4 linked regions of the Arabidopsis thaliana genome follow. The protein of the gene in region 3 purifies or fractionates together with the protein of the main gene of each other region. This does not show direct contact. Each region holds a gene or a part of one and is shown on either strand. Other genes may lie near its edges.

Evidence for each region.
Region 1: the proteins of AT1G62020 (region 3) and AT1G24510 fractionate together in Arabidopsis thaliana (co-fractionation; one large-scale study listed by BioGRID). This does not show direct contact.
Region 2: the proteins of AT1G62020 (region 3) and AT2G34840 fractionate together in Arabidopsis thaliana (co-fractionation; one large-scale study listed by BioGRID). This does not show direct contact.
Region 4: the proteins of AT1G62020 (region 3) and AT1G67760 fractionate together in Arabidopsis thaliana (co-fractionation; one large-scale study listed by BioGRID). This does not show direct contact.

Annotation. Positions count from the first base shown.
Region 1 is NC_003070.9:8,684,635-8,690,638, forward strand, and holds AT1G24510 (TCP-1/cpn60 chaperonin family protein), read right to left. Parts: upstream 3,613-6,004; 5' UTR 3,468-3,612; coding exon 3,269-3,467; exon of another isoform or gene 3,169-3,268; coding exon of another isoform or gene 3,129-3,168; exon of another isoform or gene 3,056-3,128; coding exon 2,737-3,055; intron 2,634-2,736; coding exon 2,285-2,633; intron 2,142-2,284; coding exon 2,009-2,141; intron 1,928-2,008; coding exon 1,875-1,927; intron 1,783-1,874; coding exon 1,680-1,782; intron 1,507-1,679; coding exon 1,340-1,506; intron 1,237-1,339; coding exon 1,123-1,236; intron 1,041-1,122; coding exon 870-1,040; 3' UTR 637-869; downstream 1-636. Other genes in the region: ALB4 (OxaA/YidC-like membrane insertion protein), read left to right, coding at 29-332; BCP1 (homolog of Brassica campestris pollen protein 1), read left to right, coding at 4,065-4,424. UniProt on the Arabidopsis thaliana protein: Molecular chaperone; assists the folding of proteins upon ATP hydrolysis. Known to play a role, in vitro, in the folding of actin and tubulin.
Region 2 is NC_003071.7:14,700,422-14,705,291, forward strand, and holds AT2G34840 (Coatomer epsilon subunit), read left to right. Parts: upstream 1-2,066; 5' UTR 2,067-2,181; coding exon 2,182-2,355; exon of another isoform or gene 2,356-2,447; coding exon 2,448-2,537; intron 2,538-2,620; coding exon 2,621-2,772; intron 2,773-2,865; coding exon 2,866-3,001; intron 3,002-3,090; coding exon 3,091-3,246; intron 3,247-3,409; coding exon 3,410-3,489; intron 3,490-3,650; coding exon 3,651-3,744; 3' UTR 3,745-3,950; downstream 3,951-4,870. Other genes in the region: MEE25 (NAD(P)-binding Rossmann-fold superfamily protein), read right to left, coding at 4,371-4,615, 4,702-4,846. UniProt on the Arabidopsis thaliana protein: The coatomer is a cytosolic protein complex that binds to dilysine motifs and reversibly associates with Golgi non-clathrin-coated vesicles, which further mediate biosynthetic protein transport from the ER, via the Golgi up to the trans Golgi network.
Region 3 is NC_003070.9:22,917,367-22,924,845, reverse strand, and holds AT1G62020 (Coatomer, alpha subunit), read right to left. Parts: upstream 5,360-7,479; 5' UTR 5,185-5,359; intron 5,056-5,184; 5' UTR 5,033-5,055; coding exon 4,825-5,032; intron 4,721-4,824; coding exon 4,226-4,720; intron 4,066-4,225; coding exon 1,118-4,065; 3' UTR 822-1,117; downstream 1-821. Other genes in the region: AT1G62030 (Cysteine/Histidine-rich C1 domain family protein), read left to right, coding at 1-537. UniProt on the Arabidopsis thaliana protein: The coatomer is a cytosolic protein complex that binds to dilysine motifs and reversibly associates with Golgi non-clathrin-coated vesicles, which further mediate biosynthetic protein transport from the ER, via the Golgi up to the trans Golgi network.
Region 4 is NC_003070.9:25,404,613-25,408,972, forward strand, and holds AT1G67760 (TCP-1/cpn60 chaperonin family protein), read right to left. Parts: upstream 1,807-4,360; 5' UTR 1,661-1,806; coding exon 1,343-1,660; intron 1,247-1,342; coding exon 1,202-1,246; 3' UTR 704-1,201; downstream 1-703. Other genes in the region: TEL2 (terminal EAR1-like 2), read left to right, coding at 3,431-4,049, 4,129-4,360.

The sequences.
Region 1 (6,004 bases), about 14 Mb from region 3:
TTGTACTAACACGTCCATGTGATCCCAGGTTTAGGCTGCTGAAAGAGCAAGAAGCAAAGAGACGTCGAGAAAAAGAAGAGAGGCAGAAAGCTGAAGCAGCTCTATCTAATCAAAATACAGACAAAGCACATGAACAAGATGAAAAATCTGATACAGCCATTGTCGCTGAAGATGATAAAAAAACAGAACTTTCTGCTGTGGATGAAACATCCGATGGCACAGTAGCTGTGAATGGGAAGCCATCCATTCAAAAGGACGAGACTACGAATGGGACATTCGGCATTGGCCATGATACAGAACAACAGCATTCTCATGAAACAGAGAAGAGGTAAAGACTCATGTTTTCATGTCTTAAGGCGAAGCCAAACAAACAAAGAGGAATTGAGATTTGAATAAGACGAGGAGAAATCTTGGTACTCAGGCCTTGTAGTCCCTCTGCAACAGATTTCGAAGTTTATAGATCTTAAGAGTGGGAAACATTAGTCTTCAGGGTTTAGATTTTGTGTACAAAGACCATAGCAGATGGGTATTTGAAGCCTTCGAAGCTTGGTTTCATATTTCTTATGTTCTTATGTACAAGCAAACAATTACTTTTGTCCTCGTTCACTGGTGTTACACTAATACGATAATAGTTTAGTCTACAGTATGAGACCTGCATCAGTTACTAAATCGAAAAGAAAATGCAAACGAGTGCTTCGATCTGTGGACAAGTACACACAAAAATTAAGATCTGACGATGTTCTTAAATAGAAGGTTGCAAAACAAAGGGAACAAGTCAAGGATAACGATGTCGAAGGGTATCAAAAGCTAATAGAAAGCAAACAAAAAACACCGAAGAAGCCAAAGGTTAGGACAAAGGTAGCAACAAATCAGTATTCAGAATTGGAGATGACATCGTCGATCTTTAGAATCATCTTAACGACTTGCGTAGCTAGCAAAATTTGTTGCTGTTTCCCGATCAATGTTTCAAACACATTTTGCTCCCTCATATCGTTTGTTCCCACGTCATTGCAATCTATTCCATAGAAGGGAATATTCTCCTGTTCATCAAAACCCAATGTTTGTTCAGTCACCGAACAAGCAAGTCAATGATATAGATAATAAAGTTCGTCGTTTACTAACCTTAATTTGCTGAGATTTAACCGCAGAGAGTGTCTCAATGGGCTGTAATCCACTGTTCTCTGCAAGAGCCATAGGGACAGAGTCCAAAGCTTCTGCAAACGCCCTAATTGCATACTGTAAATGAGGAAGTATTTATACATGATTAGTATTCAGAGTTACAATTTGAGAAACAAATGATTTCATTTCAGGGTATCAAAGAGGAAAGATCATATTTTACCTGCTCCACGCCAGGGTATTTATCAGCAGCTGCATCAACCGCAAGTGAGCAAGCGATTTCAGCTGCCCCACCTCCATAAACAATTGATTTGTTGCGGATGAGATTCCTAGCCACACACAGAGCATCGTGGATACTACGTTTCGTCTCTTCTATCATCATTTTGTTACCTAAACCATATTCCGCAACAAATCGTTGGATCAATCAGTTATACAATATCGTTGTCCACCATATACTTAGAAGGCATTAGATTCAGTACATCGATGTTTATCTCTCATCAGCTATTCAAAAGTCAAAACAGTGCTGCTAAAGTGCTAATAAGTACAAAAGACAAGGCGATTACCTCCACGGATGAAAACAGTGACAGCTTTTGAGTTCGCACAGTGCTCAATATACAGCATTCGTTCTTTTGTTGTGCCAAAAGATTTCTCACGAACCACGCCAGCCTAAATATATCAGGAAATGTTGGGTTTCAATGGTCTGTTTAAAATCTAATTAACATTTTACAAGCAAAACCTAGTGAAAGTAAAAAAAATACCTTCCCTAACTTCTCTGGGGTCAACTCCTGGAATCTTGGAACAATTCTACCGCCTACAAAAAGAAAAATTTCTGATCAGCTTTGCATAACTGATACAAACACTAGCATTAGATGCTTAAGAGTACTTTACTTACCTGTGGCTATTGCGATAAGTTCTAATTCAACACCCCCTACCCATCTGACAGCAGGCAAATTCCTGTGCATCAATAGATGGTTTGCCTCATCATCGAATCCCCATTGGCAAATAACCAGCGTAGCACCAACATCCTGCAAAGTTAAAATCATAAGGGTCATACATAAATCATATCATAAAATGCATTGTGGTACTAATGACCATTGTCAAAAGGATTTCTTCAGTAGCTTACTCAACATCCAACTGACAATATAAATTAATACAAATTAAAACCTACCTTGCACTTTTGTACCATCTCATCGAAATATTGCTGCTCTTGCTTGCGCAATGTCTCAAACTTTTCCACTGTATCAATGTCCACCTTATGCTTAGTCTTCGGCTTCGGTGGCTCAAAGGGACAAGTCAAAATGGCAATGTGGGCATCTTCAATCTGCTTTGGCATTTGCGGATGACTCATATCTTTGTCAATCAGTATTCCATAAATAAGCTCAGTGTCCTCCAACTTTCCCCCAACTTTCCCCTCTACTTTGATCAGATCTAAGTTAACATCCCTCCTCTCTAAATCAGCAACAGCAAGAACCGCTTTAACAGCAATCTCAGCTAAGCTGCGCTTGCATCGATTCACACTGTAACAATGAGCAAGAAAGAGTTAAGACAGTATACTATAAACCAAGTAAAAACAAGCAACAACTATTGAAAAGTAGCCTGAATATCAAAAAGGAACATTACATCTTCGAGGACAGAGTAGTCATGCAAGTCTGAACCAGAGGCTCATAATTATTAACATCGAATTCAAACTTTTGGGCAATACGCTCCAAATGCTCAACAGCCACCCTAGAAGCCATCTCATATCCTTCAGCAATACGAATGGGATGAATTCCTCTATCTAACTGACGTTCAGCTTGCTCAAGAAGTGCACCAGCCATAACAACAACACCTGTTGTTCCATCACCAATTTCATAATCCTGACTCCGCGACAGTTCCACCATTAGTTTCGCAATCTGGTTGTCAACATCCATTTGCTCCAATATCGTAGCACCATCGTTTGCTGCAAAAGCAAAACAAAGGCGAGGTTACAAACAATATACAAGTAGTAGTAGAGCTGAGCTAAGTTAACAGACATAGCGAATCGATTTTCAAAAAGTAGATGGATCTATTCATCAAACTACGGCATCAACATAGTAAACACTATGCCAAGTAAACAAGAGCGAAACTAGAAATTTAAAAGCAGATATGAAGAAATCAAAAGGAAGAAACGAACTGATGGTGATGTCTCCGTCAGGTCCTTGAAGCATCTTATCCATTCCTTTGGGTCCAAGAGAGGATCGAAGGATCCGAGCCACGGCTTTACCAGCGGCGATATTGGCTTTCTGAGCATCGATTCCTCTAAGACGAGTCTTTTGATCTTGCTCTCTCAGTATAATGAACGGACGCCCGAACTCATCGAACGCCAGCGCCATTTTCGAGCTTCTCTCGATCCGATCGAACTATAGATCTTGGGTTTTTTTTGTTTCCTAGTGCACTGGAGAGGAAAAAAAAAAGTTGAAATGGGGAAAAAAGCGAGAAGAAGAATGTCTGGAAGATTTGAGAGCTTAAAGTGGTCGAGTGTAAAACCCTAACTCGCTGTTGATGGCAGAATCGTAAATCGGAATTGATTCATGGGCCTAACAAGACGTTTGGGCTTATGGGTTTAAAGCCCATCTGATATAAGATGAATAGAATGTTCATGGCAATACTATCATAATTTGGTTCTTTAATAAGACACTCGTTAATACGACGATTTGAAGTTGAACGAATGGTTTCATATTCATTCGCATGTTCACCAATCAAAATCTATATCTGAACAAGTCCATTTTTAGGTACTCCAGTAGATTTACATTGGATTGTAAGGTAATCCTACATCTTAGTTCAAACGTTTTCTATTTTATTTTTGGTCTTGATCACAAAACACAACTATATATACATATCAAACTCATCTTCGGAAATCATCACAATCAATAAACCTCAAACCCTAAAATAAATTAAACGAGTTCTACGTAAGAAGGAGAGAGAGAAGAATGGGTCGCCAAAACATTGTCGTCGTGGTTGCCCTCGTCTTCATGGCCATCATTGGCCTTGCCGCAGCTGCCTCCTCTCCATCTCCTTCAGCGTCTCCCTCCAAAGCTCCAGCTGCCTCCAAAACCGATCATGTCGAGGCTCCAGTCACCGATGACCAAATCGGAACCACCGATGACGATGCAGCTCCTACTCCTGGTGACGGTGACGTTGCAGTGGCTGGTCCTCTAGGAAGTGACTCCTCGTACGACAATGCGCCTACAGGCTCTGCTGATTCTGCCAAAAGCGGTGCGGCAGCTCTTGGCGTCTCTGCGGTCGTCGTTGGTGTTACATCCATTGCTGGTTCTTTCTTGTTACTCTAAGTTGGGCATTGTTTTATGATAAGAAGGTTATTTTAAACGAAGATTATTTATATGTAAGGATGATTGTGATGATCTTGTTGTAATTTGTTTCTCCTTTGTTAGGAGAAACGTTGTCTTTGTAATAATACTGAAAAAAAAAACTTTTCACTAACGGTGTTTAGATACAAAATTCTGAATTGAATATAATAATATACGATTTCGGGGTCAAAAGCCATAATAATTAATTAAGTAAAATTGTAACCATCGTGTATAAATCTTAATCAAAATGCAAACAAAAAAAAAACAAGAAAAAAATATCCTAATCAAAATGCATATATTTATGCATTTAGGGACGTTAAGATTACTCAAACTCTCTATCACTAGAGGAGATGATACAAGATTTAAGACTAGCCTTTGCCAGAGAATCAGCCAAAGTGTTCTCGGATAGAAATACCAAATAAAAGAAAAGGACATATTTTTTAAACTCCAAATAATAACTCAAACTAATAGACTAGATTGAAAATAAGTTTTGTCTCCAGAGAAAGAAAATATATTACATTGGAATTTTAAAGGTGTGAATGTGATGAGGAGCCAATTTCATGGTTGGGTTTGGGGAGCTTCCACTATAGAAGCTCAGCGAGGGACCCATACAAGGAGTGAAGGAAGAGCCGTACGCGTAGTAGTGTATACGGGTTCGTATTGGTGTGTTGCACTTTTGGTCCTAAACTCAACTAATAATACCTATTTTCTTTTTCTTTTTCCTTTTTCTTTTTCGATCTCTTTCTTTCTTTAGGATCTCTTTAGTCTTATCTATCAAAATACCACTTCGTATTTGGGGTATTCCTATCAATAACCAACCATACAAAGCATCAATGCATCATTCTCATATTCATATATCATACTTGATAAAGAAAGTTCCATATTCACTGACTGTCCAGATATTTATTATTTGAAAAGAAAAAAATTGTTCAACGATTTAAAGAGAAGTTTTTGAAATGACCATGTAAAAAGTGATGATTTTAAAGTAAAAGAGATCAAAAGGCATAGGAGTGCTCTTTCGAACTTGACACCTATTGCAAGATATTTAAACTTTCGAGAATGTTGCTCTTCTATGATATTTTCATTAAAATTTAAATAAAGAAAATAAATATCCTCATTTCAACTTGAACCACCACTCACAAGAGTCTAATCAACACTTAAAATCATTTTGTTCCAACAAATATCTAAGTTAATTCAAAAATACTTATCAAATTATAGGGTATATATTTAAAACAAAATTCTAAAATTCCATAAGAACGCCTACGAACGTACCAATCTAAGGCCTTGATTGGAGACATATATAAGTGCGTATTTCAATAGCTTTTTTGGAAAACCTCAATATGTCACCAATCACAGTTATTTTGTCAATTGCGTTATTTTTCAGAAAACAAAAAAAGTAATGTTGCGTTTTTTAAAGTAAGAACATTAATCAATGAAAACGCACTTATTTATCCAGCAAGTAATAAGCAGCGGTTCAAATAAAAATCCGCACTTGACAAAGAAAAAAAGTAATTTTTTTTTTATTAAATTTATGAAAATAGAAAAATGCTTAATAACAACCA
Region 2 (4,870 bases), on a different chromosome or scaffold from region 3:
GATAAAGAAAAATAAAATCGCGACCCATATGATATGAAGCAGGCCTCGTCTCTAATGGCCACGCAGATTCATTTTAATATGAAACGGCATGAACTTATATATTGTTTACTACAATAATTAGACCATACGGTGCAAAAATTAAAACAAAATAAGTCATGCATCCCTCGTTCTACGGTGACGCATGTTGATGAACGGATTCTATAAAAATAGTAATATTTAATATCTGTTATCCAGTCAGATATATTTAAAACAATATAAGAATTTAAATTGACAAAGAAAGATAAATCTGATTAACCACGGAATATGTGTGTTTAGATTGGTAACGTATGATTAGACACATCAATGCTATTTAAAAGATGCATATGATGATAACTTTTAGAAGTGAGAAGGCCTTTGGATTATTAGGGATTACAAATAGTAAACTTATTATAGATTACTTGAGAAAAGAGATTCATTAAAACAAAATTTGCATAAAGTAAGAACCAAACTAGAGGAGCTTATTCCAAGAAGATGCATTTTACATTTAAAAGGTGCATGTAATTAATGTCTGATAACCATAACTCATTAATTATTCTAATTCAGCTAAAAGCGAGCCTAAACCCATTACACAGAGAATTGCACGAATCACAAGTACACAAATTGATAGAACATTTAGACTTTAGAGGTTGATATTTTTTGATAAACTATAGTATTGATTTATGTTATTAATTGGGTTGTGTAGCACGAGGACTTCTTTGAACATGTGAAATGAATATTGACTTTACGTAAAATCGACCATGCCCTTTAAGTGTTCCTCAAGTTCATACAAAAACAACAGTCATACTCTTATATGTATATTATAACATGATTTAAATTTGAACTATGTTTATTTAACTATATCCTATATATAATTATTACGATTGAGAGATGAGAAAGTTTGTTACAGATGAAGAAGAAGATATTTTCCCCTTAAATTTCTGTAAATGTATTTTGTACAAGTATATATACGATGACAATACAACCGGTTAATATAACCCGCGTAATACAAAATCAATTAAACCGATAAATTAAATCAACACTCTCTGATATGACCCCTCAATATGAGGATTCGAAAATGTTGAGAATGCTCATCTTGGACTTTAGATGTTCAAACTGATGTGAGAACAAATGTTTAGCAAAATATCAGCTATTTGATCATCCGTGGGAACATGAAGCAGTTTAAGCTCACCATCATCCAACTTGTCACGCACGGTATGGCAGTCAATCTCAATATATTTCGTGCTCTCATGGAAGATATAATTGATTGCAATATAGATAACATCTGTACTGTCTGAAAACAAGATAAGAATCGAAGTAGTATCCGTTTAAGATACGAGCAATGTATGCAACCAAACCAACTCACAAGTAGCAAGAGCTAATGCTCAGTATCTAGAAATAACATGTTGCTTCTTAGATCGACATGAGATGATTTATGAAGAAATTTGAGCTTTGATGGCTCTAATACCATATTACGATCGAGAGATAAGAAAGTTTGTTACAGATGAAGAAGAAGATATTTTCTGATTAAATTTCCGTAAATGTATTTTGTACAAGTATATATACAATGACTATTCAACCGATTAACATCACCGTAATACAAAATCATCTAGACCGATAAAACTAACCTAACACATTCTGATAATAACAAATATGAATTTATTGATTTTCTTTTAATTAAGAATAGCTCGTTCAACCAAATGTTGACATCTTTTTTTTTTTTGAACACTACCAAATGTAGACATCTAGTACACTAATTCAACCATGTCTGTCGTCTAATACTATTTCGAGTAGTGTGTGATATGCTTAATATATAAAAAAAACTTGTTCACGTTTCTGATTTTAAAACATAGACTGACCAAAAGCTCACAACACACAACTAGATATAAAGCCCAGGAGTCAAACAAAGAACCTGATTCGTTATTTTGCCGCACAAGGCCCAAATCAAATTAGTGATGTTACTTGAACAGTTCAAAAAGAACTGGGATTATTATGCATTCAGTTTATAACTTAAGGGGTTATTATGTTATTAACCCGTTTACTTTCGTTTGGATTTTGGAATTAGACGCGAAGCTGTGAAATCTAGAAGAAGAAGAAGAAGAAGAAGAAGAAGAAGAAGAAGAAGAAGAAGAAGAAGAAGAAGAAGAAGAAGAAGAAGAAGAAGCAATGTCAGCCATGGGAGCAGGACCAGATCACCTCTTCAACCTCAGAAACAATTTCTATTTGGGAGCTTATCAAACGGCGATCAACAACAGCGAGATCGCCAACCTCTCGCCGGAAAACGCCGTGGAACGTGACTGTCTCGTCTTCCGATCTTACATCGCCCTCGGTAGCTATCAGGTTACTTCTCTAATCATATCGATAATGTCTTCTTCTTTAGATTCGATTACGTTTTGTTTTGATCTGTTCTTCCAAATTTTGGTGTGTATAAGCTTGTTATCAGTGAGATCGATGAATCAGCCGCTACTCCACTACAAGCAGTCAAACTCCTCGCTATGTATCTATCGACTCCTCAAAATAAGGTAATTACGGCTTTGATTCGTGTTCACGAAACATGTTGTAAAGAGATTCAAATGCTTATATGGAACGATTGTTATTGGTTCAGGAATCAACAATTTCAAGCTTGAAGGAATGGTTAGCAGATTCAACAATAGGAAACAATGATACATTACGATTGATTGCTGGTATTATTTTCATGCATGAAGAAGATTATAATGAAACTTTGAAGCATACTCATGCTGGAGGAACTATGGATTTGTAAGATTTTTTCGATTTTTATTTGGTGGATTGAGTATTTATACTGTGTTTTAAAACATGTTCTTAGATGGCTCATTGCTATTGTTTTTCTAGGTATGCCTTGAATGTTCAGATATTCATTAAGATGCATAGAGCAGAGTATGCTGAGAAGCAGCTTAGAGTGATGCAACAGATTGATGAAGACCACACTCTCACTCAACTTGCTAGCGCTTGGTTGAACCTGGCAGTGGTATAATGCGAAATATTCAATGTGTTCTGGCTTATTCTTTCAAAGAGTTGTGTATTTGCTTCTTATGCTAAGGCGTTATTTGATTTCAGGGCGGTTCGAAGATACAGGAAGCTTATCTCATTTTCGAGGATTTTTCTGAGAAGTACCCAATGACATGCTTGATCTTGAATGGCAAAGCTGTTTGCTGTATGCAAATGGGTAACTTCGATGAAGCTGAAACACTACTTCTTGAAGCACTCAACAAGGTAACTACAAATTAGGCTTGTGTACCTTAAATTTGCTCTGTACATTAGCATTCTCGGGAACAATATGAAACTAGGGACCTCTCTAAATTTCTCACACTGCACTTGTCTCTTGGCTTTTCTGTATATGGGGAAGTGTGTTTATACTAATTTGTGGTGATTGCAGGATGCTAAAGATCCAGAAACTCTTGCAAATCTTGTTGTGTGCAGTCTTCATGTCGGGAAGTCTTCTTCACGCCACCTAAGGTAAATTTTCATTATCTACTCTTATATTAGGCATCATTTGCCCAATCAATCAGTAGAACTCACTGAAAAGTTAATCGAGAGTAACTGTGTCCTTAATCCTAATAAAAACATTGGTCGGTCTCGTTTGTTAACTTCATTTGTATCACCTATCCTTCTTGCAGCCAGCTAAAACTTTCACACCCGGAACACATACTTGTGAAGCGTGTATCATCAGCTGAAGATAACTTCGAGAGAGCAGTTCAATTGGTCGCCTAAAGACTCTTCCATGGTTCAAGCTAAAAGACGTGCAGGATTTGTTTGCTTTACCGCATATTTTCACCGGGTTGGTAAATCTACCAGAACAACCATACTGTCTTGTCTTTTCGAAACCAGTATATGAACCAGCTTTTGCCATTAGATATGTTAAGTTACATTTCATTACTTGAAAATATCAAATTCCACCTCTCGCACTCTCAATTCCGTTTGTCATTTACTTAATTTCGAACCTAACCAATCCAGATCGTGTAACTCAACCCGAAACCTTGAGTGAATTCAACCGATCGTTTGAATCCAAACTAGAAATACCAAAACAAACAAAAGCTTCTCACTTGGAAATACTTCAATTTTTTTCCAACCAATGATTTTCACTTTTTACACAAAGAAGCGACATATGTCTTCCGTTAGGATTTTGATAAACCTCAATCACAATAAAATAGGTGATTGACATGGATGATATTTTATTAATCAATAATCTCATATATAATCTCTATATATGGATAAGATGAATACTATTCTACTAAGAATAAATCCATCTTCTTCTACTACCTTCACTACCATCTAGAATCAAGACTCTAATGAAGGAGTCCTTGAAGGGCAATGCTCACATACCTAATGCATAATGGTCAGTATGCAGAAACCAAGGAAGAAGATCCATAGCCACTGCGATGAAGCTTTTGCCATCTCCATGCCATCTTTAAACTTTCTTGAAGATTGGTGTGCTTAGCTGTCCAATTCAGCTCTTCTTTGATTTTTCTTGGATCGCTGTAAACCTCTGCGTAATCTCCTGCCCGTCTTTCCAAGTAATCGACTTTTATATCAACGCCGGTCGCCTTTTTGCACGCTTCCACAAACTCCTTCACCGAGCTACCTGCTTGCACAACAATTAATACCACATTCTCTGAAATCCATTCACTTCACTATCCTAGAATCTTTGCCAAACATCTAATTTTATACCTTTCCCGGTACCAACATTGAAGATACCAACTTTGCGGGGTTTCGCCTTTTCAAGAGCTTTAACATGAGCATCAACCAAGTCGGTGACATCAATGTAATCACGTACACAAGTCCCATCAACAGTCTTGTAGTCTGTTCCTTTAATCTGCAGATAAAAACCAAATAAACT
Region 3 (7,479 bases):
TTAGAACAGTTTTCAACAAACGAAACATTCAATTGCATTGAGTGTGACTACTTTGCTTTGTGTTTTGGATGCGCCACTTTACCTCAAGAGGTAAGGTATGAGCATGATAAACATATGCTCACTCTTTCTTATGGCGAGGAGACATGCATCACGACTTATTGGTGTGATATTTGCGAGCAAGAGATAGACCCAAAGGAGCGGTTTTATACGTGTGGTGAGTACTGTTGCGTCACCCTACACATTGAATGTCTGCTTGGGCAGGATTTATACGTGAAGCCTGGTTCATCTTGGATAAGCTTCTCCTTCAATGGAGAGAAGATATATGTTCGGGCCAACGATCATCATATGACTCGACCTATTTGCTCTCATTGCAAGAAGCGTTGTCCACACAAAATAGTTTTGGAGTCGTCTGGTTCAAAATTTTGTTCCACATCTTGTGTTGGTTATTTTTTGTCTACAAAGGTGAACACAGCTGGTCATCGCGAATATCTACAACGGAGAGGCTACGGAAATTATGAGTTCTCAGCACTGACGTAGAGATTAGTGTTCTCTGATGTGTCTCTGTTTTTGTGTTACTATCGGTTTAGTTGCGTCGGGTTCTGTCGGATCAATCTTTTTATAAAAGCTCGATTGATAAAACATGCAAGGAGAAAAAACTATTTAGCAATCAACATGTTACAGTGTTATCTTTCCCTAGAACTACAGTTAGTTGACTAAACAATTTGGTTTACTATCGGTTCAATTAAAAAAATACATTGGACTTTATCGGTACATTTCGTTGTAGATAAATTTGTAATTAGGAACGACACTCACAAAATTCAAAAATTTGGAGAATTTATAAAATCATAATTTCACAAGTAAACCATAATTTCCGAAATTGAAATTACAAGTTATCCAGTGCTACTATGCATCAAAAAGAGAAATTATAAAGCAAGAAGCTAAAGTTCTCATGTGTACTAAAAGATAAGAAACAACTTTTAAAAGAGTAATAAAAACCTGCAACGAGAAAAATCCTCAAACCTGATTGGTAAGTACACAATCACAAAAACACCAAAAGTTCAACACTCTTATTCTGTTAATAGAGCATCTCTGTATTGATTATGAAATCTGAAATTGATCACCGGACTTGAGATGGAGAGCATAACAAACCAGATGCGTCTGCGCCAATCACTGCTAGATCACAGACCGTGCAGATGTTTCCTTCCTGGTTTGGTACAAACCGGGCGGTGCAGTAAGGACATGAGACGTCTTTCTGTCCTCTGTAGATCGGGACATATGTGGAACCACATACCACAAAAGGGTTCCTGAAGTCGTAGTTAAGCTTTGTTTCATCGGTCATGTTACGTTCAGCGGCTTGCACAACTTGTCTAGCCATCTTGGCTTGGCTATCAACTGGGCTTGTTTCCAACAGTCTTCTGGCGAAATTAGAAGCAGTGGCGAGGTTCTTTGCCTTGTAGCAGACACCCATTGCACTAAGCAGCGCAAGCCGTAAGTGAGGTGTTTGGAGGTTGCAGTGAGTGAAGTAAGCAGCGAGCTCTTGCTGCCTCACCGGATCATCTTTCATCTCTCTCCTCTTGAGCTCCATTTGAAGACCAAGGACATATTCTTTAACGATAACGATTAATTCCTTGACCTCATCCACTTCTCTTCTTGTCTCGACTACCACTAGAGGGATGGTGTGCAGGATAGAAAGGAAGAGACGGAGAGCCTCAGTGAATTTCCCAGTTGTTGTAGCTTTGTAGCCGGATTTGAGCTTCTCGTCTAGCTGAGAGAAATCATAAACAAGAGCTGGTGGGCTACGGACGTTGGGACTGGAAGACTCGCTCCATCCACGCTCAATGGCAAGTGGAACCACAGGACATGAAGAAAAAGCACGCAGATAGCTATGGCTGCCATTGAACAGATCTAGAAACATCGATTTCAAAGGTGTAAAGTTCTTGATACCAAGCTGTCTGTGGAGCAGACGCATTGCAGTGTCGAAGCTTCCCGCTGCGGCTTGCTCAGCAGCAAGAGAAGATTTCTGGCTCCAGCTCTGACTTACGGGCATACCTTGGGGAGGTGTCACAAAAACAGATGAACGTGCATTAGCAGAGGCTTTAGGAGTGTCAAGCTCTGGTGGGAGCACCAAGTCTTCAAGTCCCCATCCACCTTCCTCATCGTTTTCTTCTTCACCTGCTTCTGCAGCCGCCAAAATGTCTTCAATATCTCTGTTCTCCATTCCATCAACATTAATGTCAAGTTCCTCACCCCAATCCCCTTCAACATCTTCTTCATCAACAGTACCTCCTCTGTCTGCACTCTCAAGTCCTCCTTCAAATATTCCTTTCATCACTCTAAGAAGAGGCCAATCACCACCACACATGATGGGTGTCGGTGGCATTAGAAGCGATGGAGTTTTTCCTTCAGGCAATGAGGGCACGTTGTCTCCTAACTCAGTTGCCAGTCGCTCAGCAATGTCATTTAAACCATGAACCGAAGCTGTGATATAAGCTAGAGGCAAATGACCAGCATTCTCCAGTATCTTAACACGCTCTTTAACATCTCCTAGGTAGAGAGCATTGTGAAACTGTCCCATTACGTTGTTCTTCACTTCTGCAATCTTCATCAACTTTGAAAGCTTGTCCAAATTTCCAGTAATGAGATAAAGAAAAGATAACCTCTCAAAGTTCTTTGTCTGCTGGTATGCAAACTCAACAATTCCAGAATTACCTTGGCGAAGAGCCTCCACTCCAAGTCTATACCAGTGGTCTTTCTCGTTAATCTGTGTAGCGGATGCAACAGCCACACTGATGTTGCCACTTTCAAGAGCCAGATTGAATCGGATCCTCTCATCTTCAACAAAATGGAGGGCAACTTCAGGGAATCCTTTCTGCTGCAGGTAAGCAATCATAGCCTGTCCACATAGCTGAGAGTTCTTTATCATGCTCATGACATGATCATATCTCTTCCTCAGCAGTGAAAGCTTGAAAATGTACTCGGTTGCATTAATGGTGATAGCCTTGTTTTTGCCATCCCGATCCAAGCAAAAGATTGTATTACCAGACACCTTGGTGATATAGATTGGGACATCCAGGGTTCGGATGATTCCACTATCTCCATTAGGAAGACAGTACTTGATATGATTCAAAGTTGTGTAAATGAAGACACCATTATCGTCCCAAGCTCCACTTTTCACACGTATCGTCTCATGAAGCGTGCACTGGAGAACAAGTTTTTTGCTCGCGATAATGATAGTATGTTTGCTGAGCAAAGCAACACTCTCCATATCACTGGACCAAACAACGTACCTAACAAATGGTGTCTGAAGCTCACCAAGAACAAGCCTTTGCTGGAGGTCAAAGATAACTACTTTATCCTCAGATCTACAAAGCAAATTCCCAGTCCCAGCATAAAAGATAGCATCTGTGGGAATAGGCAGAGGACTCTTTTTAACCACCTCATTCTTTAGATTCTTGACTAGCACTTGGCTGGTGCTTTTCTCGAGAACAGCAAATCGGTTACGGGCAATGAATACTGCAGAGCCACCTGTCCCTCTCTTTGCATCTTGCACAACGTCACTCCTGCCAACACTATCTTTCGGTATGATGTACAACTCATACGAACCACCATCCAGATCTGAGCAGATCAAAACTGCATTTTCAGTGGGACTGTATGATAGAGTCCTAGGACTTTGATTCAAGCTTGGAGTACCCGGACGCCGTATAGGGATAACTTGGGAATCCCTTTGAGTTGAATATTCATAGTACCGCAAGAATCTATCCTTGGCATAGAACAAAGAATCCCCACTCAAAGCAAATGCAGGACGTTCTCTCTCAAGCTTGAACACAATCATGCCACTGTCATGTCCTGCTGCTAGTAGATTCATCTCAGGGTGAACTGCAAGAATCCAGAATCTATCATGTTCACGACGGAAAGTCTGAAGTCCAGTTCGCTTGGTAGCATCCCAGACACGGATGCTCTTATCTTCAGAGTTTGATACAATTATGTCCTGTTTTGCATGGAACATAACAGATGAAACGTTATTCATATGGCCTCGCAATGTATCCACCTCCCAAGCTTTAGTTTCTGCAATGATATCGTTAAAAACATGTTACCAACTCGTCTTTGCAATTTCGAGATTCATCTAAGGATTAAGGCATGCAGAATATTTTCATATCAGTAACATCATTGACGATTGATAGCATATAAAAATTGTAAGCACAAAAGTATACCACCAAATAATTACCATTCATACGCCACAGCTTTACTTGGCGGTCATCTGCACCCGAGACAATAAGAGGCAGGGTGGGATGAAAAGCAGCCCAGTTTACACCTCTATCATGACCTTCAAGAACGTACTTGACAATGGCATCAACTCCACCAAAAAGATCACTATTCATCTGAGTCAACCTCATGATATCATCAGCAGGAGATACAGTCTTCTTCCTAAGAGCACCAATATCCCAAACACGAACAGTCTGATCTAACGAAGCTGATACGACGAGGTCTTCTTTCGGATGGAAAGAAGCACACATAACATAATGATTGTGACCAGTCAATACAGAAACACAAGTCCGTGATTGCCAGTTCCATATACGGATAGTTTGATCATCACTTGCACTCACAATCCATGGGTACTCATGATGGAACTGAACCGTGCGGATATAATCAAGATGCCCTAGAAGAGTGAAAAGGCACCTGTGGTTTTTGTAGTTCCACACTTTAATCTTGTAATCATCCCCTGCAATATCAAGATCAACATCATTGTAATGCAACAAATCATGTATAGATCCATTCTTTTGAGCTTATACGATTTCACTAACAATGATTCCGAATTATATATACCTCCGGAGACGAAGAGAGGCTGAGAATTGTGGAAATGAACACCACGAACAGGTCCTTCGTGTTCGTCGAATCTATCGATCAAAGTACCCATACGATAATCCCAGAGCTGGATCACGCCACTGTGCAAACTCGCGAGAATCCATGGTCGTTTAGGGTGAAAACTCAGTCCCTTAACTCTGTTACTTTTGGTTTCGAACTTTGTCAACATAATCTCTCAACGATAATGGCACTCTACAAAAACCAGATCACAGAAAAAAAAAAGCGAATCACGAACAATTAGAAATAGATCTAAATTGCAACAATGGTAGTGAGATCAAAACAGAAATTCGAAATCGTAAGGAGAGGAACAATGGTGGTTACCACAGATCAGATGAGTTTACGAACGAAGCGAAGAGGAAGAGGAAGAAGAAGAAGAAGAAGAAGGTGTATAGATCTGAGTGAGTCGCTATGCCCAGATCTCGAGTTCTCTCTTTTGCGTTAATTTGGGATAAAAACATGTATTCAGTGATGAATTCTATATATCCTTAAAAAAAAAAAGGATGAGTTCTAATCTTATTGGTCGAATGATGCAATTTAAACATATTTTTTCCTATTCTTTTTTAACGTCGAAGGAATAAATAATTACTCTAAATTATTTTCTGCCAAAAAAGCTCTTACGTAATTATTTTTTTATGTTTTTGGTCAAATTTAATTTAGAACCTTTGATTAAAACTAAGTTGTAATTTTATAAAAACCAAATAAAAATTAAACTGAGTAAGAAACAAAGTGAAGCCTATTAAAAAAAAAAAAACTAAATATTCATTCACTTGATTAAAAGACGTATATATTATCATCTATATCGTTTATTTTTAATAGATTGGAGCCTCAGAACGTCAAAAGTGATTTTATATATGATGAGCATTTCTAAATTTTTGTATACTATTGTTGAACATAAGTGAAAAATAAATTATGCATAAGATGAACAAATCACAAAAAAACATGAGAAATAATCTAAAAAATATTACGTCTCTATTTGTAATCACGGTTATCGAGTTTAAAAATCCAATTAGCGTAAATGTAATGTTTTCAAAAACATTGCAAAACTTGAAAACAAATTGATCATATGATTCTGAATGAGAGAGACCAATCAAACCTACACACAAAAAAAAAGTGATAGGCGGCCGAGCTAAACGCAGTTTAGGCAGCTGAGGAGGAGCCAGGAGGTAACAACAACCATTAGAGATCTAGTGACAGGTTCATTCACTCCCGTTCAATTATCCATCTCACACTTGCTCTTTGCATCAACTTATTTGCTATCTTAATAGATTCTAAAGTGTATTGATTCATGTTCAAAGAACAATCTTTACAAAAGAAAGGAAAACAGCAGAGAAGATAAGAAAAAGAGATATCCACGAAACATATAATGTATTGTTGTAATATAGACTAGTTAATGGTCTCCTTCTCCTTTCCTTTTGCCTTATAGTACCAGAGCTTGGTTGGAATAGCAAACCATGTAACCAACAAAGGAAGATGCTAGCGAGGTACAAGAACAATGCACAGTTTCTTGATATGACATTCCTTGGAGCAAAAACAGTAATCTCCAATACCAGCTTATCATCATGCTTCGAGACGTACCAGCTTTGATTAGGTTATAACTTGGGACAATCCTCTTCTCCAGCCTCTAGTTGCCACTGGTCAAGTCAACTTCTTTCATCAAATTACAATGCACTCAAGATAGCGCTTGATCATCATTATGCTGAATCCTAGGCCTATACATGTTTTAATGGAGCTCACTCGACACCATTGTGAAGTCATCATTATGTTGCAGGTTTGATGAAATTTGAAGCTTTGGAATCGGTTAGGAAGTGTAATGAAGACACTGTCTCCAACAGAAGGACTCAAGTGGAAAACGAAACTCTAGACTCTAGTGTTGCCCTCCTTGGCAAGGGATAACACTAAAAGACCTTGAATTGATTAACTACACCTATTTGCTTTATATAGATGGATCAACCAAATCTTTGTGGTTATGGATTCCATGAAGATTAACACTCATCAAACAAACACTAAAATTATTCATCCTCGGCTGCTTTACCACAGTGCTTCTTGTTAACAAATAACCAAAAATATCATGTAGTAAATAGTTGTCTTCTGTTTCTAGACTTTTAATGTTGAAGAGTTAAAAAAAGCTAGTAAAAAAGAGTTTAACAATTACAATTTGTCAGTCAGATTGCATACAGAGATGGATCAAGTAAATGGATTGGATATATCAATAGACTATAAAAGTCTTTTCTACTTATTTACCTTATTATAAATCCTCAACTAGCTTTTCTACTCTTTTCTACTAGCTTTTATAGTCTATTGATATATCCAATCCAAGAAGCTTGAAGATTTATAATCTCACTTGAAAGATTATTAGTTTGAGGCTTGATGGAGTTTGAAGATGTAGCAGAGACTGAAGAGTTGGAATTGGGTTGAACAAGAAGGTATGAAGTATACTGAAGACTCTAATACAAACTTAAGGACTCAAGTAGAAAAAGCAAACTAGGAATTTGAATAAACCGTTCCATCGTTTGCGAGTGGATCTTACTCCTCAGAGTTGTCTACCAAATCCTGCGAAACAGGAAAGATTTCTGCCACGAAACTAGTAAAATGAAATATATCATATGCTCTGTTTAA
Region 4 (4,360 bases), 2.5 Mb from region 3:
TTTACTATACAGAAGAAAATAAAACACAGTAATGAGTAAAAATGATAGTGAAGCGAATTTTACCGAATAACAGAGTGTAAGATAAAAATAAAATCTATATACTAAAAATGAACCGGAAAATGTGGCAAACCAAAACTAAGATATAAAAAAAAAAAAAAAAGTTGTTACAAATGTGAAATAAATCTTAGAGTACTACATTACTGCAGTTTGAAAAATGCCGTTTCAAAAAAGATGTCAAATATAGTAACTTTCAAAATCGGTGTTTTGAAGATGAAAAATGCGCAAGTGCTAGAGAACGAACTAATTTCCTTTTCGGGAGCAACTAACTATAATCAGATTTGATTATGATTATGATTCAAACAACATGCTTTAATAGTAGACTCTTACACTCATAGCCGTTTCAAAATATTTGACGACCATTATTAGATAGTAGATTTTTCAGTAGAACTGACTCACCTTTAAGATTAGTCGAACAACTGCTTTTGAGATTAGTCGAACGGCTTAAGTCGGATCATGTGGTTAAATAACTAGTTTTGGATCCCTAATACGATGCTGACCCGGATCACCGACGGTTATAGTTATATAAAAACAATATGTTATATCAAAATGCAACATTGTCAAGATCCAAACATGATCAAAATTGGTTTTAACCAAACAAACAAAGAAGCATAATGAAGCATTCATGACAACTGTCTGCAGTAGACAAAAGGTACAGAACGTTATTTGACTTTCACGCATGTAAACGTTTTAACCCGACCCACCAAAATTTTTACTATCAAAACATTACAAAATACAAACCAATGATTACTCAGCTCCATTAATGTTCAACTTCATCAACCTCTAACAGTCCTATTTTTCTTAACTCATAAATGTTCATCGCTTTGAACATGAGGGACCAATCAAAACTCAATCCCTGAATCAATACACTTAAGTCTTCTAATGTCGAAAGAAAACCGCAAGCTTAATAAATTCAAAATCAGCACACCTAACCACAGTGAAAAATTATCTGTGGAATGTTCTTACATAAATACGCTTGCAAGAAAACGTAAACAATCCAAACATGACTATCATTCATCAGTATTCTGATGGGGAGATGACATCATCGATCTTGATTATCTTAACTACTTGTGTTGCAAGTACGATCTGTTGCTGCTTCATGATCAACGTTTCAAACATGTTTTGTTCCCTCATGTGTTAGCCCCTACATCGTTGCAATCAATCCCGTAGAATGGAATGTTCTCCTCTCCTGAATATTCAACAACAAACCCAATACTTAACCCATCTTTCACAGTAACAAGCCAATATATAAAGTAAACAAAGACAAAACACATCAATCACTTACCTTAATTTGCTGAGATTTTACAGCTGAGAGTGTTTCAATGGGCTGCAATCCACTGTTCAAAGCAAGAGCCATAGGGATAGACCTAAGAGAGATGAGATTCAAAAGGAAGAAACTAACATATGGTGACATCTCCGTCAGGTCCTTGAAGCATTTTTTTTCCATGCCCTTGGGACCGAGAGAGGATCGGAGAATCCGAGCCACTGCTTTACCAGCGGAAATGTTGGCCTTTTGAGCATCGATGCCCTTAAGACGAGTCTTTTGATCTTGCTCTCTTAGTATAATGAACGGCCGGCCAAACTCATCGAAAGCCAAAGCCATCTCTGATTCTTCACTCTCGGCGGTTCGATCCGATACAGATCTCGGATGGTAAAAGGTGAGAGCTCAAAGAAGAAGAGTGTTAAGATTTGAGATTCAAAACGGTCGAGACATGGTACTGAGTAAAACCCTAAATCGTTAGAAATGGCAGATTCGTAAATCAAATTGTTTGAAGAAAGAGCTAAGAATAATATGCACTACGTGGGCCTTTGGCTTATGGCCCAATATGCCTATTTTTCTTTTACTCTCATTAGCCCAACCGGTCTCGTGGTAAGGTCAAGTAACCATGGGATCGAACAAATAAAAGTTTGATATTTCGTTTCAATCACTAATTGGCTCATTGCATACCAACCATTCTCAATTTTATTTTTTAAAAGTGGAAAATCATATAAACATTCATTTTAAATTTTGAATAAATAACACATAAAAAATCACTAAAATAATTTACTAACCAAAAGTTGATAAAATTTTTGAAGTATAACTTCATGTCTTCATCATTATGATCACATCATGATGAATCAACAAAGTTTCTTCATAATTTATTCTTAACTTTTGTAGCTGAATTCTGAAATAATATATAGAAGATATTCACGTTTTCACACTTTTTTTATTATTAGCTAGAGAATGTAGTTTATGTAATAAATGAAGGATATGGTATAAACATGACAAAAACAAATGACAGCCCAAAACAAGGAAGTAGGTAACAATAACATTCCTTAAAACAAGGAATTGCCCTGGTCCCTATTTGGTCCTACCCTCGAACTATAACTATATTTACATGACATGCGTTTATTATATGTACATAGACAGATATTACGTATGTCAAACTCCATAGCTCCAAACCATTACGTATCTGACCTAGAGGGCCTCCCTAATCCTTCTTTTGTGATAGGAGATTGTAGAAAACTTATAAAAATCTATGAAACAAAAGGCTAGATTAGGCTAATATGGGCTAAATGTAATGTAATGTCTATGTGGGTGAGATTTATTCGTTGTTTTTACGTCAAAAGGAATGTTGTCACTATACATTTATGGAACATAAACAATACTACAGATTATTTAGAAATGTATAGGCTTAGATAGTTTACACTTTGCATTGAGATGGAGAGAGACACGACAAATCGGCCCATGCACTTTTGCGGTGAAATTGGGGAACACGACATTACGAACTATTGCACCCAAATACAAATTCTATATAGTATGATACATGGATAATGGTACCCAACTAATCGAAAATTGTGTTCCTAGGCATAAAATCTAACTATGATATTTGTTTTAAACAAGAAAAATTCTTTCGTAAATAATGTTTTAGAGAAAAACATGATTTGATTATCTTAAAAACTAAATCAACATAGAAAAATGAATGAGACTTTGTTATGTAACCTATGTTCTTCTCGTGATTATTAACAAAAAAACCTCTACAATTGTTTGAATACTCTGCATTTTCCATCAGTCCATTGCAATGAAACCCTCTCAAAGGACAAAATGGTAAATTGCTCGAACGAGTTAGTACACCATTAAATTAAAGAACCTTGACTTGTTTTGTTAGTAAACAAAAATTGGGAAATAATAATAGAAATCTCTGCAGAATAAAAACAAAACCAACAAAAATTCCACTTTTGTGCTCTCTCCCTCTCCCTCCCCTTGGCACCAAATAAAGAGGTAGAGAGAGACGAAATAGTACGATCACTGAAGAATATCAAACGTCCATAGTCATTACCTGTCACCGGAAAAACCAGTTCCCAACTCATCACCTCTCCCTCTAAACCAACAATGTCTGTCACCGGACCATTCAGTCACCCAACAAACCTTAACCCAACAGCTCCGGCGTTCTTTCCGGCGATAAACCAACACCAAAACCAAAACCCCTCCTTAATTCCGACAAGATTCTTCCTCCCTCATCCCCCTCCTCCTCCTCCTCCTCCGCCGCCGCCGCTATACTTTTCTTATTTCTCTCTCCCTCCTCCTCCTCCTCCTCCTCATCTTCCACCGACTTCAGTAACACCAACCAGAGCCGTGATGTTATTACAAGTCCCAGCTACCGTCACTGAGACATCTCTAAGACGAGACATGGAACTATTCGGTGAAGTCCGTGGAGTCCAAATGGAAAGAGCACATGAAGGAATCGTGATTTTCCATTTCTACAATCTAATAAACTCACAAAGAGCTTTTAACGAGATACGTTACCGTCACATGCAACAACAGGAACAACAACAACATTTCCACTTCACGACGGCGCGTGGACTCGTCTCCGGTCATTCTCTTTGGGCCCATTTCGTGTTTCCTCAACTCAATGCTGTTCCTGAAGGAAACAATCAAGGCTCTCTTGTCATTATGAACTTAGAACCCACCGTCTCTTCCTCAACTCTCCGTCACATTTTCCAAGTTTATGGTAAAGTTTCAATTTTTAACGAGATAAACAAATAAAGTTGCAAACTTTATGCTAATTAGTGTTACGAAAATCATTGTAGGAGAAGTGAAGCAGGTGAGAGAGACGCCGTGTAAGAGAGAACAAAGATTTGTGGAGTTTTTTGACGTTAGAGACGCTGCAAAAGCTCTCCGTGTAATGAACGGAAAAGTTATCTCCGGTAAACCAATGGTTATCCAGTTTAGTCGTCCCGGTGGTTTAACCAAGAAACTCTTCTTCGCTTCACACTTCCATAAAAACTTCATCTTTAACAACGAACACCATTATTATCCACC